Nothobranchius furzeri: one gene and its partners. The protein of the gene in region 2 binds, or shares a complex with, the protein of the main gene of each other region. Links are inferred from orthologs where the notes say so. Each region holds a gene or a part of one and is shown on either strand. Other genes may lie near its edges.

Evidence for each region.
Region 1: the proteins of fdx2 (region 2) and nfs1 are in contact, whole or in part, in a cryo-EM structure (PDB 8RMC), measured with the Homo sapiens proteins. The link is inferred for Nothobranchius furzeri from reciprocal best matches to the Homo sapiens genes FDX2 and NFS1. Residues at the interface, in NP_001384335.1 of Homo sapiens: Ala104, Cys105, Glu106, Ala110, Cys111, Pro141, Leu142, Ile169, Thr170, Arg171, Asn172, Phe173, Tyr174, Val175, Asp176, His178, Lys181; in NP_066923.3 of Homo sapiens: Gln153, Lys157, Leu160, Asp161, Arg164, Ala168, Tyr175, Ala384, Ser385, Leu386, Glu387, Pro388, Tyr390, Arg393, Gln456, His457.
Region 3: fdx2 (region 2) and ndufab1b share a complex: the UniProt entries of both Homo sapiens proteins name them as parts of the mitochondrial core iron-sulfur cluster (ISC) complex. The link is inferred for Nothobranchius furzeri from reciprocal best matches to the Homo sapiens genes FDX2 and NDUFAB1.

Annotation. Positions count from the first base shown.
Region 1 is NC_091743.1:73,305,884-73,310,736, forward strand, and holds the start of nfs1 (cysteine desulfurase), read left to right. Parts: upstream 1-1,587; 5' UTR 1,588-2,133; intron 2,134-2,211; 5' UTR 2,212-2,300; coding exon 2,301-2,406; intron 2,407-3,115; coding exon 3,116-3,192; intron 3,193-3,489; coding exon 3,490-3,606; intron 3,607-3,773; coding exon 3,774-3,857; intron 3,858-4,702; coding exon 4,703-4,853. Other genes in the region: ccndbp1 (cyclin-D1-binding protein 1 homolog), read right to left, coding at 360-419, 1,090-1,177.
Region 2 is NC_091747.1:74,438,337-74,443,124, forward strand, and holds fdx2 (ferredoxin-2, mitochondrial), read left to right. Parts: upstream 1-1,605; 5' UTR 1,606-1,628; coding exon 1,629-1,815; intron 1,816-2,096; coding exon 2,097-2,148; intron 2,149-3,331; coding exon 3,332-3,438; intron 3,439-3,513; coding exon 3,514-3,601; intron 3,602-3,669; coding exon 3,670-3,826; 3' UTR 3,827-4,614; downstream 4,615-4,788. Other genes in the region: serotonin N-acetyltransferase-like, read left to right, coding at 1-11. UniProt on the Homo sapiens protein: Electron donor, of the core iron-sulfur cluster (ISC) assembly complex, that acts to reduce the persulfide into sulfide during [2Fe-2S] clusters assembly on the scaffolding protein ISCU.
Region 3 is NC_091752.1:63,552,637-63,557,773, reverse strand, and holds the start of ndufab1b (NADH:ubiquinone oxidoreductase subunit AB1b), read left to right. Parts: upstream 1-1,901; 5' UTR 1,902-1,949; coding exon 1,950-2,120; intron 2,121-2,152; exon of another isoform or gene 2,153-2,237; intron 2,238-2,477; exon of another isoform or gene 2,478-2,539; intron 2,540-2,646; exon of another isoform or gene 2,647-2,693; intron 2,694-3,564; coding exon 3,565-3,684; intron 3,685-4,580; coding exon 4,581-4,668; intron 4,669-4,790; coding exon 4,791-4,882; 3' UTR 4,883-4,905; intron 4,906-4,987; 3' UTR 4,988-5,137. UniProt on the Homo sapiens protein: Carrier of the growing fatty acid chain in fatty acid biosynthesis.

The DNA of each region.
Region 1 (4,853 bases), on a different chromosome or scaffold from region 2:
ACAAGAAAACATAAATCCTTAATAGATTTTAAAAATGTTGAATATACCACAAGTAATGAAAATCACTGATGTGTTTCATTTCAAATTGACTGGCTCATGTGTAAATTGGTTGCTCCACATTCAGAGTTAATGCAAAAATAAGTTTGTTTCCAAATTTTAAAGTTTAAAATTGCATTTATGTTGAAAAAGAAAATGTGCAAATTTGCCATCACTTTTTCAAAAAATATTAAGTTTGGCTTGCAACTTCGTCCCAGATTTTCATTTTGGCCCAGTGTGAATTTGAGTTTGACACCCCGGACCTAAGAAAAAGAGTCAAGGAGTTGAACGTGTGGCAGGAGGAGAATTCTCATATACTCAACTCAAAGTGTCCCAGAAGTTAGAAAGGTTGAAATCTCCATCTGATTCATTTGACTCTCCATCTGCAGAGAAAATCAAAGGTTGTAATTACACTTTTAAACATGTGTTTTGTGATTATGTTGCTTCTATCTGGAAGCTGCTTTAGGTCAGACCAAATGTTTCATTGAGGTAAAAGTAAAAAGGTTATTTATTTACGTTGTATAACCCTAGCCCAAACAACAACAACAACAACAAAACACTTAAATGGAAATATATGAAATTATATACAGGATAACCTTCAGTTTGGTTTACTGCCAATACATTTCTGAGGAATGAGGTCTCTTACTACAGTCACTGGGAATGACACGTTACAGAATCCACTACATCAATTTCTCATAAGGATCATTCAGCTGGCCAACTTGCTTTTTTAAGCTACAGGTTTATTATATGTTTGGTTTTCGCAGAATTTGAGGGGCTTTTACGTAGCAACGAAACCTGTCTGGCTCAATAAGATAACGGTGGATGGCTAGATGACGCGTGACAATGTATCCCTGCTTGGCATTTGAAAAGTTACTTTCTCATTTTATTTGTCTTTAGTGGGCTGTTTAAAAGGCGACTGCACCGTTTTCCGTTTTAAGTTGTTTTAAATGCAGCCAACTATACACATTAAACAACAAAGACTGTTGCTAGCTTGGCACTAACACTGGCATACTGAGTTTTTTTAATGAGGTAAGAAATGTGTCTTAAATTTACCTCTGACTCGGTCTCTGATACACTGAATGGAGTTCAAAGCATTTCGTAAAGGTACGGACAAACTCCCGTTGATATTATCAGCACTCATGACGACGAAGTTTGAGGAAAAGCGTTAGCAATGCTGCGCTAACACGAGTGTTGTGGAACTACAGAAGCCCGGAACGTGGATCCGGGGAATATAATAAGCGAAACAATCAATCCCCCGGAAGCAGAAGAATAAAATGCGGTGAAATTGTTTACAGTGAAAACCACAGATACTGTATATATTCTTCCACTCCCTGAGCATATTTAATCTTCACTAAATATGAAACTACAACACTCTTCATACCTGGACTTGATTTTTCTGAAATGACAACATTAGGCTTAAATCCTTAGGCTTATATTTATGTCGATGATGCTTAAAACTAATGATTTTTTTTAATGTTTAAAAAGTGCGTTTTCAGCACAAAGATTGCATCTGAATTACATTGGAACATGTGTAGCTTAACAAGTACAACACTTAGATTCTTCAAATCTGGACTAGATTGTTCTATATTAATAGCAGAGTCCTTGAAATATAGTTGGTGGTTTGTGAAACCTAATGGGTGTATTTAATAAACCCATGCACATAAGAAACAGTGTTCATTACATTCATATAAAATGGCAAAAAGGTCATAAAACTTGGACTGTAGCCAATCAAAAAACTAAAATTGCCAATAGCCCCGCTTTAAATCCACAACAAAAAATCCAGTTTGGCCTATGGGAGAGCAGGGAAACCGCAGAAAGTCCCGTCCTTGTTTCCTGTTGAATTTTGTGACAAGTCTGTAGTTACCATCCAAAAAAGATTAAAAGACGAGGTTAAAGTTCATCTGTGAAATTGCTATTGTGAACTGTACGCAAATCAAAATAACGTAAAATTATAAAGTTGCTTAAACGTTTTCCATCAATAAATAGTTAGCACCGTTTTAAAATTATTTTGAAATTCACTACCGGAAGTTAGCTTTGTTTTGTAACTTAACTTGCGATGATCCATTTAATTGCAACCTGGGTCTAAAGTGACAGACAGTAAGTTTGAAACCACATATTTTCGCGTTTAGAGCACTAATTCTAAATAGTGTTCTCTTTTTTTAACGCTGGGGTTAGGTGGCTGAACTGCTTTGTTGATTTGGTCGCAGCCAACGTGTTGGTGTTGACGGAGGTCAGCAGGTCTTCGCCGAACCCAGCCTGCCGAGATGCTTTCCCCGGGAAGGACCGTGTCCTCCAGGCTTCTGAGGCCCGCCTCTTGGTTTCCTTTTCGGCTGGGCTGTGAGCGGTCCGTCGCCAGCTCCAAGCAGAAAGGTAACAGCATAACGGAACACACTGGCCTCTTCGTTTTCCTATGAGTATCTAGCATTAAGCTAATCCCAAAGTGACGCACTTTGCTGGGGTGACGAGAAACTTCACAACACCTACTGTGTGTTAAGTCCAGGTCAAATCAAGTAACGTGGAGCGTGTGTTGGGTTAGAGCTGGGACAGTGCATCCTCATCAATAAAGTATTTAATGACTTTAAAACTGAAGTAATATAAAATAATAACTAATAGTTTTGATTATTAATAACTGATATTATTGCTAGATTGATTGTAATCATATTCAGCCAAATGAAAGACAAAAAGCACAATGGGCAAAGCTGTTACAGAAACAATAGACTAGTTAACTTCAGATAACGCTCCGCTGTCCAGCACAGGAACAGAAAACATTTCAGATGAGCTGAGAAGTATCAAAGTCCAGAGTTTATAGTTTCCTTTTTAGAAAACATACACTACAATTTGGAAAACATAATTAATCTGGATAGATTATTATTAATCTAGACATTTCTTGCAGAAATGTTGTTTGACTCTGCCTACTTGGCTACTATGGAAACCATTCCTGTGAAGTTAGGCTCATCCAACTAAACAAAGCACCTTGATACCCTACTTGCGGCAATTGTTGAACAATTGTAGGTGTACGGCAAATACGTACAGAATAATCTTGAAAGAATAATGTGTACATTTGTGTTTTTTGCTGCAGAGTTGATCAAGAAACACGAGCTGGAGAAAGATGAGCTCCGGCCTCTTTACATGGACTTCCAGGCCACCACTCCCATGGTAACTGTAACTCGTGTGTTCTGCTGTGCGTCATAAAAGATAATGTTACTTATCATGTGACAACTATTTAATTTTGGGCTAAAATGATGGTTATTTGTGTGACTTTACCTTCATATAACCAATTTGTATTTGATTTGATCAGCATGTTTGAAGCTCATTTTTATGTGTACACACCCTTTTTATCACAATAAGTAACTTGTTTTGTAATTCAATAAATGAATGAACATCTGACTCAATACCCGAGAGAATGATTTGTTCTTTCTTTGCATTCCTGTTTCTTTATTCCTGTGTGTTCAGGACCCCCGGGTGCTTGATGCCATGTTGCCATACCAGGTGAATTACTATGGTAACCCTCACTCCAGAACACACGCCTATGGCTGGGAGAGCGAGACTGCCATGGAGAACGCCAGGAAGGTAGAGACACTGCAGGAGAAGTTGTCACATTATTAGTATTTAGGAATGGAGCAGAAGTTATTTCAGCATTCTTGTAACAATTAGAAAGATCCCAAATGCACATTGTGAGCATTTGGGATCTTTGTTTTCTTTCAGCAGTTAAATGTTATCCCTGTTCCTCTGAGCAGCAGGTTGCTGATCTGATCGGAGCTGATCCCAGAGAAATCATCTTCACCAGTGGAGCCACAGAGTCCAACAACATAGCCATTAAGGTGTGTTTTTTAACTTTTCTTCATTATCTAGCTACACACACCCCCTGCTGCCAGCGTCATCTCATTTTGTTTTGGGTAACAACAGAAATTTTCATTGTATTGAAAGTAGTTTATGTGGCTTTTAGAAGCTCAGGGTCCTTAACTCATTCACTGCCATTGACAACTAAAGTCATCATTTTAGATCCAACCGTTCACTGCCAATGACGACTAAAGTCGTCATTTGCAATTTTTTTTACTGTTTGAGCATCGGAAGGAGCCCCCGCGCTGAGAGAACAAACATCTCAGGCCTGAAGCCGATCTTCATCCGCATATGTCACACATCACATGATCAGGAAGCAACACATCCATGTGTTTGGAGATCGTTTTGGGCCATTCCTGTAAAAAAAAGTGAGGCGCAAACCAGAAAAGCGTCTCCCGATCACAATTCGACAATGGATTATGAAAGAACGGATAACGCTCGAAACATACGGCTTCTTCCTGATGTAAGAGGTGAGTCTCCTCTTTGTTTTGGTTGTTTTGGCATCGACATCATGCTAGCGCGCAACGTTCTGTGACTCTTAAAAAAACTGTAAAAACGGTGAGAAACGGTGAGAAACGCTGTCAGCGAAGGCCGTTAGTGATCAGGAAACGGCTGGCAGTGAATGAGTTAAGGAACCGTTCCCCAGTGTTTCCTCTGTTACAGTTTCAGCCAAACGGCTGCACACTTCGGTTTTTCATGAACAAAAAAAGAGCTATTATGAGTTATTTACAGAACAAAAGTAGGATTAGGAGTGGAAAATACTGTAAAAGCCTGTGAGGACGTTTTACAGACATCAGATGTAACTTTCTGTTGCTTCCTCCTCAAGGGCGTGGCTAGATTCTACAAGTCCAAGAAGCACCACGTGATCACCACACAGACGGAGCATAAATGTGTCCTGGACTCATGCCGAGTCCTGGAGGCCGAAGGATTCAGCGTTACCTACCTGCCAGTCCAGACGAACGGACTGCTGGACCTGG
Region 2 (4,788 bases):
GTGGATACTGAGAACAGGGGGGCTCTTTAGGTGGACTCCTCCTTGGTGACGGGACCTCGACACCTATTGGAGACAGGAAAAGGGAAGTGAGCCCATCTGTTGATCCCAGAGTTTGTGATCTTCACGGTGGGTGGAAGTCTTTCAGCCGGGGGCGACAGGAGAGCCTCCGGAGCTGAAAACAAGGAGCTGCCCTCCAGCTTTCACTGTTTGCACCGGATGTTTGAGACTGAAAACACATCAGGAGTCGCGTTTCAGCGTAAGAAACAAGTTCAGTAAAGCAAAGAGTGAAAGTTTTAATGAGTTTTGTAAAGAAAACAAGTTTTATTTGGGATATGGTGGACAATTAATGTATTAAAAATAATATTGCAGATTTGAAAAACGCTTTTCTAAGTCAAAAACTCCAAAGTGCTTTGCAATCCAATCACTCACACACCGATGGTGAAAACTGTAGCCACAGCTGCTTCAGGACACAGAGGCGAGGCTACCGCCCACCGACCACCACCATGATGCGTCTCTGTTCAAATGCAACATGAAATATGTACACCTGTACTTATTTTTGTACTGCATGTTTAGCTAGTTTATGTCCATGTGTTTTAAATACAAGCATATCAGCTGCTTTACAGTATTTAGTGATACTTCTCACCCTCTTTGCATGCAGGTGGAACCATAAACACCCTTGCATCTGTCTAATCAGATATCTCACAGGAATTAAGATACTTTTCAAAGGATTGGTGAAAGGTTAACAGGTTAAAGGTCAGGTTGTTGGTCATGATCAGACAATTAGAAGCACCTGAACAGGTTTGTCTCTTTAGGCAGGCGAGTTTTAATGGTGTAAATGAAGACATTCGTACAAATGTTTCTTTGAACAGACCAAACTAAACTGAGTTTAAAATCACATTTGACTCTTTCAAAATCACTTTTGTCATGATGTTGTTAATATAGAAATGTAAAGACTTAAAGTAATATGATTTAGGCAAATATCGATGAACTAAAGTTAACGGTTGTTTTTTTTAATTTACTTTTATTTTTTTTTAAATTGCCTTAACTCATCAGACAGCACCGATATACGCCGCTTTTAGGTTGTTTAGATCCAAAGTAGTTATTCGTTGAAAAAATCACCCACAGATAAAAATACATAACGGGTTTTTAAAAGGAGGTCTCGTGTAACACTACTACATTCTCAAAAAGGGCGAAATTTGTCCAGCATAAGTTTTGTTTCTCATGTCGAAAATTCAACAAAAACACAAGAACATTTCTTTTACTTTCTCAGTAAAAGTGCTGCTGTGAAGCATCATGTCTTATTTAATTATTTTCTGCCCAATTAAGTAAAAATATTCCCATTGTTCCAAATATAATATGAAGTGTGACATAAATTATGTTTACATGCGTTTCACCGGTCATTTTTCAATTTTATCACATTTCCATAAAAACAAATGAGGGAACACATTCTTATGACCTGAAATTTAATGTCCCCACCTGACCCCTGACCGGATCCAAAAGGTAGACGTCTTGGATTGTTTTTCACTGGCGCCCTCTGCTGTCAGAGAAAGTACACAACAACTGAAGCCTCGTTCTGCCACAGCTTTTTTTCTATTGGCTACTTTCAATCATGTGATCAAAACAGAGTCATGGCGGCGTCTGCAGCTGCCCGGACGAGCATTGGTTTAACTTTGAGGTTTCATCGAGTAATTCCGGACTGTAGCAAATGCCCCCTGTACAGACTAAAGAGCTGTACCAGCAACAGAGCTAACCCCCAAAGAAGAAGCTCATTTAATAGCTTTCGGACGATGAATCGGCATCTGCAGACGAGTAAATGTAAGTGATTTTGTTTGCTAACAGTTAGCATTAGAGGTTCATTCGTCCTTTCGAAGTGTTCTTACGACACAATCATTACGTAGTCGCGAATCACCTCATTTCTTTGAATGCGTTTTAGGTGTTAACCCTGCCTGAAATGTTTTATTTGCCTAAGAAACGTCACTATGAAAACTCTTAACACGTGTAACTTTAAACATTCTAAACTTCTGCAACTCGTTTATTCTTTTCCTCTGGTGGGTTTGATGCTATTAAACGAAAACATTGATTTTCTTTTTCTAAAGGTCTTTCCCAGGCCCAGGAGGGTAGCTCCAACTCAGAAGACCCAGATGATGTGTGAGTCTGCCAGAGCTTTTATTGTGAAATGTAGCCAGAGCTGCTGCTCTAGACCAGGCGCAGCTAACAGGAAGTCAATATGTGCACGTGCACCGTAAAGTTGAACCTACAAAATAAACGTATTTCCGCTGTTTTTCTAGAAACATTTGTATGATTGCAAGAGAAAAACTTAGTGGATCGTTAACATTAACAGCTTTAGTTTGTGGACATAAAAATGAAAATATCAGATGCTAATAGTTAAAATAGTTCATTGGCCGGTCTGCAGTCTACATTTATAAAAGGAAATGACATTAAGTTAATTATAATGACTTGTTTAATACGGTTATAATCAAAGCATTCAGCTTATAATCAAAGTTTTAATCTCACATTTTAAAGAATTGATTTGATCATTTTTATTTGCATTTTTTCAAATAAGAGGAAATTTCCTATTTCCACGAGTAAAGAGTTCATCATCTTTATCCATAAAGCACTTTCTCCGAACCATCACAGTTGGCCTAAGTGTTGTACACAACAATTAAAGTAATTTTAGAATCTACAGTGAGCTATAGATGAATCCCACAAGTGTCAAAGAGATTTCGTTACATATAAGAATCAAAAGCTAATTAGTAGAAATGAGTTTTCAGCCACCTACCAACATCTGGAGAGTTGGAGCTTGTCTGGCTGTGTGGGATACAATTCCACTTAATATTTGTACAAAGTCCGTGTAATCCTCCTTTCGCCCTAACCAAAGCCTCTCATTTGTGTGCCACTGTAGTATTAATGGTACAGTGATCCCTCGTTTATCGCGGTAGATGCGTTCCAGATCTGGCCGCGATAGGTGAAAATCCGCGAAGTAGGGACACCATATTTACAGTACAGTACTATATTGAATTATCGTATGATCACGTTCTCTTTTTGTGGGTAAAACTCAAGAAAAAAAATTATTTACTTGCTTTTTTTATAGTTTTATTACAAAAAGTGCATTTTATGATGAAATTGATGAAAAAAACAGGAATTTCTTGATATTTCGCATAGAAAAATACCGCGAATCGGCGAATTTCCCTTGAATAAGGCTCCAAAGAAAAAATCCGCGAAGTCGTGAATCCGCGATAGACGAACCGCGAAGTAGCGAGGGATCACTGTATTTTATATTTTTAACATATTTAATTTTCGATAAAAAGGACTTTTCTTCCCTCCCTCTTAGAGTTAATGTGGTGTTCATAGACCGGTCTGGCAAGAGGATCCCCGTTAAAGGCAAAACGGGAGATAACGTCTTGTTTCTGGCCCACAAACATGGAATTGAACTAGAAGGTAAGGGTTTAAAATCTGGATTAAACCAGCTGCTCAGATATTTGCTGATATTTTACATGTTTTTTTTTGTTTTAGGAGCCTGTGAGGCGTCGCTGGCCTGCTCAACGTGCCACGTCTACGTGAGCGCAGCTCATTTCGACAAACTGCCAGAACCAGAAGAAAGGTAGGGGCAAACTGAGGCTTTGTGACGGTGACTACACAGGAAACAATGACTGGTGTCTCCGTTCCCAGAGAGGACGACATGCTCGACATGGCGCCCATGCTGCAGGAGAACTCCCGACTCGCATGTCAGATCGTTCTCACTCCAGACCTCGATGGGATAGAGCTCACCCTGCCAAAAGTCACCAGGAACTTCTACGTGGACGGCCATGTCCCCAAACCTCACTGAATGGAGCCACAGATGATAAAGGGGAGGGGGGTTGTATCTAAAGATGTGAGGCTTTTGCTGAGAGGTGGGATGACTGCAAAGATTTACAACTAGGATAATAATGTGAGCAGCAACTCCCAGGAAGTGTCACTGACGTCAGCACAGACCTGCAGCAGAGAACAGGCCAAGTCCTCAAACTACACTAGTCCCACTGGAGTTGGTCTCCATGGTTACATGCAAAGAGAAACTGATGATGTATTTATTTATGTGAGGAGCTCTCAGGCTTCAGTCTCAGAGACCTGAAACATCAGTCGGATCGAGATTATCTCTGAACGGAACATTCCTTGTTACAGCTTTTATACGCACAAGAATCCCAGAATAATCCTCATGACCATTATTGTCCTGATTTATGTCGCATATGCATATTGTTCACTTTTATGTACCATATTCATCTGTAGATGTTTCAGTGTTTTGTTGAATTAGTCCTAAAAGTCAAATTTCAGAAAAGCTTTCCTTCTTTAGTCGGACCGAAAAGCCATAATCTACAATAAAGTAACTGATGCTTAAAGGTGGATTAACCACAAAACTGAACAAAGGGATGAAGTCTGTTCATTCGAAACATTTCAGAACGTTCTGGTGCCCCATTCAGCTGTGGCCTGATCCAGAGCCGGAAGTGTGTGTTCTCCATCAACAGAGTAGTCTACCTTTGACTCAAGTCTATTTGTCCAACATGCACAAATGGAAGTGAATTTTCTCGTATAATTGCAAATATTTCAAGTTGTACAATTAAATATTTCATTGAAAATGGTTTTAAGCAGATTGCCTTCATTCACTTTCATTTTTAATGAGTGGGATTTCTAGTTGATTGCCACGGATTAGGATTAGTTTGTTGGACATAAACTCGGTGGCTTGTAGGTGTGTTTGACACAGACCGAGCAGCTCTTTGTACCTGCCCAGCTGTAATCTAGAGAACAGCAAACACC
Region 3 (5,137 bases), on a different chromosome or scaffold from region 2:
GTGTCTAACCGTGCTGCGGACACGTGTAGTCAATAGTTTTGCACTTTAGTGCATTTTAGTTAAAATTTAAAATTTCTGCCTAAAACTGTCAGTGTTGTGCCATTGTCAGGTAAAAACTCCGCACTGCAGTTTTATTTAAATCTGCCATTGCTATTGGCTAAGAGGTACCCTAGAATGTTAGCTGGTACCATATGATGTCACAATGCCATTGTGAGCCTATGTGTGTGTGTGTGTATTTGTTAGCGGCTCCGCCCTCTCAGTTTGCTAGGCAACAGCATTTGTTGCATTTTTCAAATAGGAAGTGGGAGCAGAGTAATACTCTGGTGGGGGGGGTGACTTGCTCTTTGAACAAATACATGTGATTTGCATCCACAATTATAAGGAGTCTTTTCTTTTTATCAGTGCATTTTGTGTATGCTTTCAATTTATTTTAAACTAACAATAATTTTGTGTTCTTGCTCCTGATTGAAAGCATTCAGCTGTTGAAAGTTCTCAAGTGTGCAACGCTGCAGCTTAGATATCTCATCGGAGCTGTGGTTCACTGAAAAACTATTTTTTAGTTATTATTTCTGATTATAACTGGTTACTCTGATTTGATCTGATTGAAAATTGACAGAGAACCTCTAGGATTTGAAAAGCCAGACAGATCTATGTCACACCCATCTCGCCCATCTTGACTCATGACAAGGAAGAGTGCCGTTGGTTTAGTGTCCACGAAACAGCAGCAAACGTCTCGGCTAATAGAAGCTAACCGTTAGCATTAGCAACTCCACAACATGTCAGAACTCATTCAGGCTTGTGTTATTTGTGAATATAATACAATATTAATGTTGCTGAACAAGCAGAGTCAGTTGTACAGTCACGTTGCTATTAGCTAATCCAAGCCAAAATGTCCACATATCAGGAAATAAGACTCCAAATCCTGCCATCTGAAGCGCAACTCTGATGTGGATCACTTGTAGTTCCTGAAACAGGTGCGCCAGAGCCTTCCCCCCCCCCCCCCCCCCAGAATAAGATTTACAAGGCATTAATTCCTAGAGACCACTGCAAATGTGTTGATTAAACGAGTGAACACATCTTTAAAGGAGATGTACAGTTGAATGTCATCCGTGTAAAGATGGTAGGAGATTTTCTTAGCTCAGGTTGTGTTGAAGGGAGCAGATAAAGGAAGAACAATTGAGCTCCCTGCACAGAACCTTAGGACACCATCAGTGAGAGAAGTAAAGGAAGGACCAAAACTAAGAAACAACCACATTTCAATAAAACTATTCTTAAGTAGTCTTTGTCACTATCCAGTGTAGAGCTGTGGTTGGATTATTTCCCCAAAGAAGCAAGATACGTAATTGACTGTAAATATAGCAAATAAAACGGGCAAAACAGCTTACCATTTATTTCAGAGGGCTTCCCAAACTAATAGTCCTCAGTCATAAACTAGTAAACTCGCCAGTTGTCTAAAACAGAAGGTTTAAATCAAAATCATTTTCAGTATAGAGAAGTTGAGATGAACCAATAATGATATTAGACCCTGATCAATATATGTAATTGTCCCATGTTGGGGAGACATACTGCCAAGAATCAGATAAACTCTGACAGTCTTTGACAGTTGGTCAACTAAACAAAACAGTCAATGTGCATTTGTTTGAATATTATTATTTAGTTAGGCTATAATGTTGAGTATTACAAATGTTGACTTCCATCGAGTCTTTCTGGGATCGATTGATCTTGCTTAATTCGAGTCCTTGCTGTCGGGGCTTTTATAGCTTTTCTTTCTGACAATCCTGTATGGGGGCAACTGAAAGCGTGTTTTAGTTAATTAGAAGTTTAAAAGAACCAACAATCTGTAAAATGTTTTAAAGGAAACTTACGTTCTACACATGCGCACTGAGACGCCACTGTCATCGATTTTTCCGGTTCTTATACGCCGCTGATCCTCCAGCTTCTACTCCAACATGGCAGCCCGTGTCCTGCTGCAGTGTGTCCGCTCGTGTGCCCGGCCCTCGCTGAGGCTTTGCTCCGGTAACCTCGCAGTCAGAGCCGCTGTCATACCGGCAGTCAGTACCCACCGACCTCTCTCCTTGGCCGCCGACCGCCAGAGAACGCGGTGGTTCGTTCGGAGCCCGGTGAGTCCCGCTAACATTGGCAGAGTCCTGGCCTGGTGGCCGTGACCTACTGATGTCTTTCAACAGTCTAACCGGCCCAGCTGTAGGTTCTCGGAGCCGTCTGACTAGCCACCTGGACTAGTGTAAATAATAGTAATGAGACAGTTAGCCACGACTTTACGACACATTGCGACGCCTAATTTGTCTGACACTACCTCAAGGTTTGACTGTTTAGCTAGTTAGTTAGCAGGAAAGGCTAGCTGGTTAGCAAAGTTCATTGTGCTGTTTTTCTTGACTTTTCAGCTTTCTGGAGCAACTTAAACTAGCTGTCCTCAGGTTTTACGTTTATTTAAAATAAAAAAATATATATTTACTTACCAACTAATGCCACGTTGTCTCTGGACGCTCAGCCCCTTAGCCAAAACGGCTAATGCGCAGAACTAAAATAAAATCACGTTTGAAAACATCTATATGTGAATTAAACATACACGAGAATAGGATCTGTCCTCTTCACAAGCTGATTTTTGTATTTTTAAAGTATGCTTACTACTTGAGGAAGAAACCCTTGTAAACATTCATACAGTCAGGTCTGTAAGTGAAACAAGTAATTAATTAATGATTCAAATAAAACAGGCGGACATTATAAAGACTACTTTAAGGATGTCACATGATTCTGTATTTTGTATATTAACATTCACAAGAAATATTAGACAACTGTTGGACATTTATTCAATAAATATCATGCCACTGAAGCAACTGTTAAAGTTTCCCGCTTCTCCCTCTACTGGTTGAAAGAGGAGTTACAACTGTTGTAAACAACCCTGCTTTAGCTAGTGCTAACAACAAGCTAACATGAGCCAACTGAAGCCAACTGATAGTAAAGAAGGCACAAAGTAGAAAGATCCACACGTTTGGACTAAAGATACTTTTACGTCCAGTAGCACTCAGACGAGTGTAGTCTGCATCGATGTTCGCTCTGGTTTTAGCTCTTGGTTTCGCCTCCAAACACTCTTACCTTTATTTCCAAGCTCTGCCTTAATGCCAGCAACAAAAAAAGCAAAATTATTCGTATTATGCGAACAGAAAAAGCTAACTGTCAGCCTTTATATTGGCTACTGGCATAGTAACAGCTGTAAAGCAGGTAGACCTCTCACTAGTGCTCTTACCTGAACCTCAAGTTTCTGACCAGCAGAGGGCAACAGAGTGCTGTTATATTGAAAGCTGCTGAAGAATCACTGAAACCAGTTTAAAAGCAATAGCTAGTGTTGAAAAATTAGTGTTGCTTTAAGTGGTTCGCAATTTTCCTGCCCTGGATTATCTGCTCTTTACTTTTAGTTTTTTTAAAACATATTTCCATTTTACAGCATAACAAACATTTAGGTGTGCAGTTTGAGTGATCATGACCATTTTGCTTTCTTTTGCTTCGCATTCTCCCTTTTTGTCTTTCCCTTTATGCCTCATTTAGATCCTCTCGGTGGGTGTGCTGTGCCGACAGTATAGCGACCTCCCCCCTCTCACTCTAGAAACCATCAAAGACCGCGTCATGTATGTACTGAAGCTGTACGATAAAATCAACCCAGAAACGGTAAGAGTAAGAAGTGTTACAGAAAGCAGGTTGTGTGTGTGTGTGTGTGTGTGTGTGTGTGTGTGTCCGAAGTTTAGGGAAACGCAGCCTTCTGTTTCAGAAAGAGATGCAAGTTGATTTCTGGGTCTATCACCATGGTAACAGACACAGTACCTATCCTGTCCATTATTTTAGAAACAATTTTACTTAAATTGTTTAAGTTGGCACAGGAGTTAAAAGCTCGCCCGTAATCAGAAGGTTGCAGGTTCGAGCCCCGCTCAGTCTGTCGCTGTCGTTGTGTCCTTGGGCAAGACACTTAATCCACGTTGCCTGCTGGTGGTGGTCGGAGGGACCGGTGGCACCAGTGCTCGGCAGCCTAGCCTCTGTCAGTGTGCCCCAGGGCAGCTGTGGCTACATCGTAGCTCATCACCACCAGTGTGTGAATGTGTGTGTGAATGGGTGAATGACTGGTTGTGTTGTAAAGTGCCTTGGGGGGTTCCAGGACTCTAGAAGGCGCTATATCAAATACAGACCATTTACCATTTAACTTATAGAATTACCCTTCTCATGACCTCAATACATAATAGTCTCTGTTCCTAAAGATTTTTATTTTATATATATATTACTTCTCATTTAAAATGTTATTTATCAAGTACTTCCTCGCTTTAAAAAACCCAGACTGTTTTGATCCTCCTTTCTGGAATACCCACAGATCTGCATATAACCATCTCTTCCAAAATAATCAGTGAAATGTGAAAGATTTAGTTCTCCCAAACTCTAATTTTGTATATATTTTCACATTTACACTAGTTTTAGTGTAAACATTCACCCAGACAAGGTTTTTCTGCCAACTTCAAAAGAAAACTGATTCCCAGGGCTAATGAAACTAAATCTGATTAGTTGTATTTGCCCCACAGCTGCAGACATCCTCCCACTTCATGAAGGATTTGGGCTTAGACAGCTTGGACCAGGTGGAGATCATAATGGCCATGGAAGATGAGTTTGGTGAGAGCAACACACAGACCTCTGCCTTCACGTTTATTCCTATTCGGGATGAACTCAAACTCGTGTAGCTTCAGCTCTTTTTTTTCCTTCTGGGACGTGAATGTTTTTGGTTCCTGCTGCAGGATTTGAGATCCCAGACGCAGAGGCAGAGAAGCTGATGACTCCAGAGGAGATTGTACAGTACATCGCAGACAAAAAAGATGTTTATGAATAATCTCTTCTGTAGCTCGGAGGCAGGTATGTCACACGGGCATTCCTGGCCCTGTCTCTAATTGTATCAGTGTCTCTTTTAAGAGTTATTTGTCCCTCTCTTTGACAGAGGGAGGCCTCACACAGGAAGTTTTTTGTGAAGCAGATTGGCATCGAACCATTTCCCACTTCAAACCTGTCCGCTGTGGCGAGTTCTGCGTCGCCTGCTGCGTCCTGTGTTTCACTGTATTTAAATATGTTCTTGAGAGCATAGAGATAA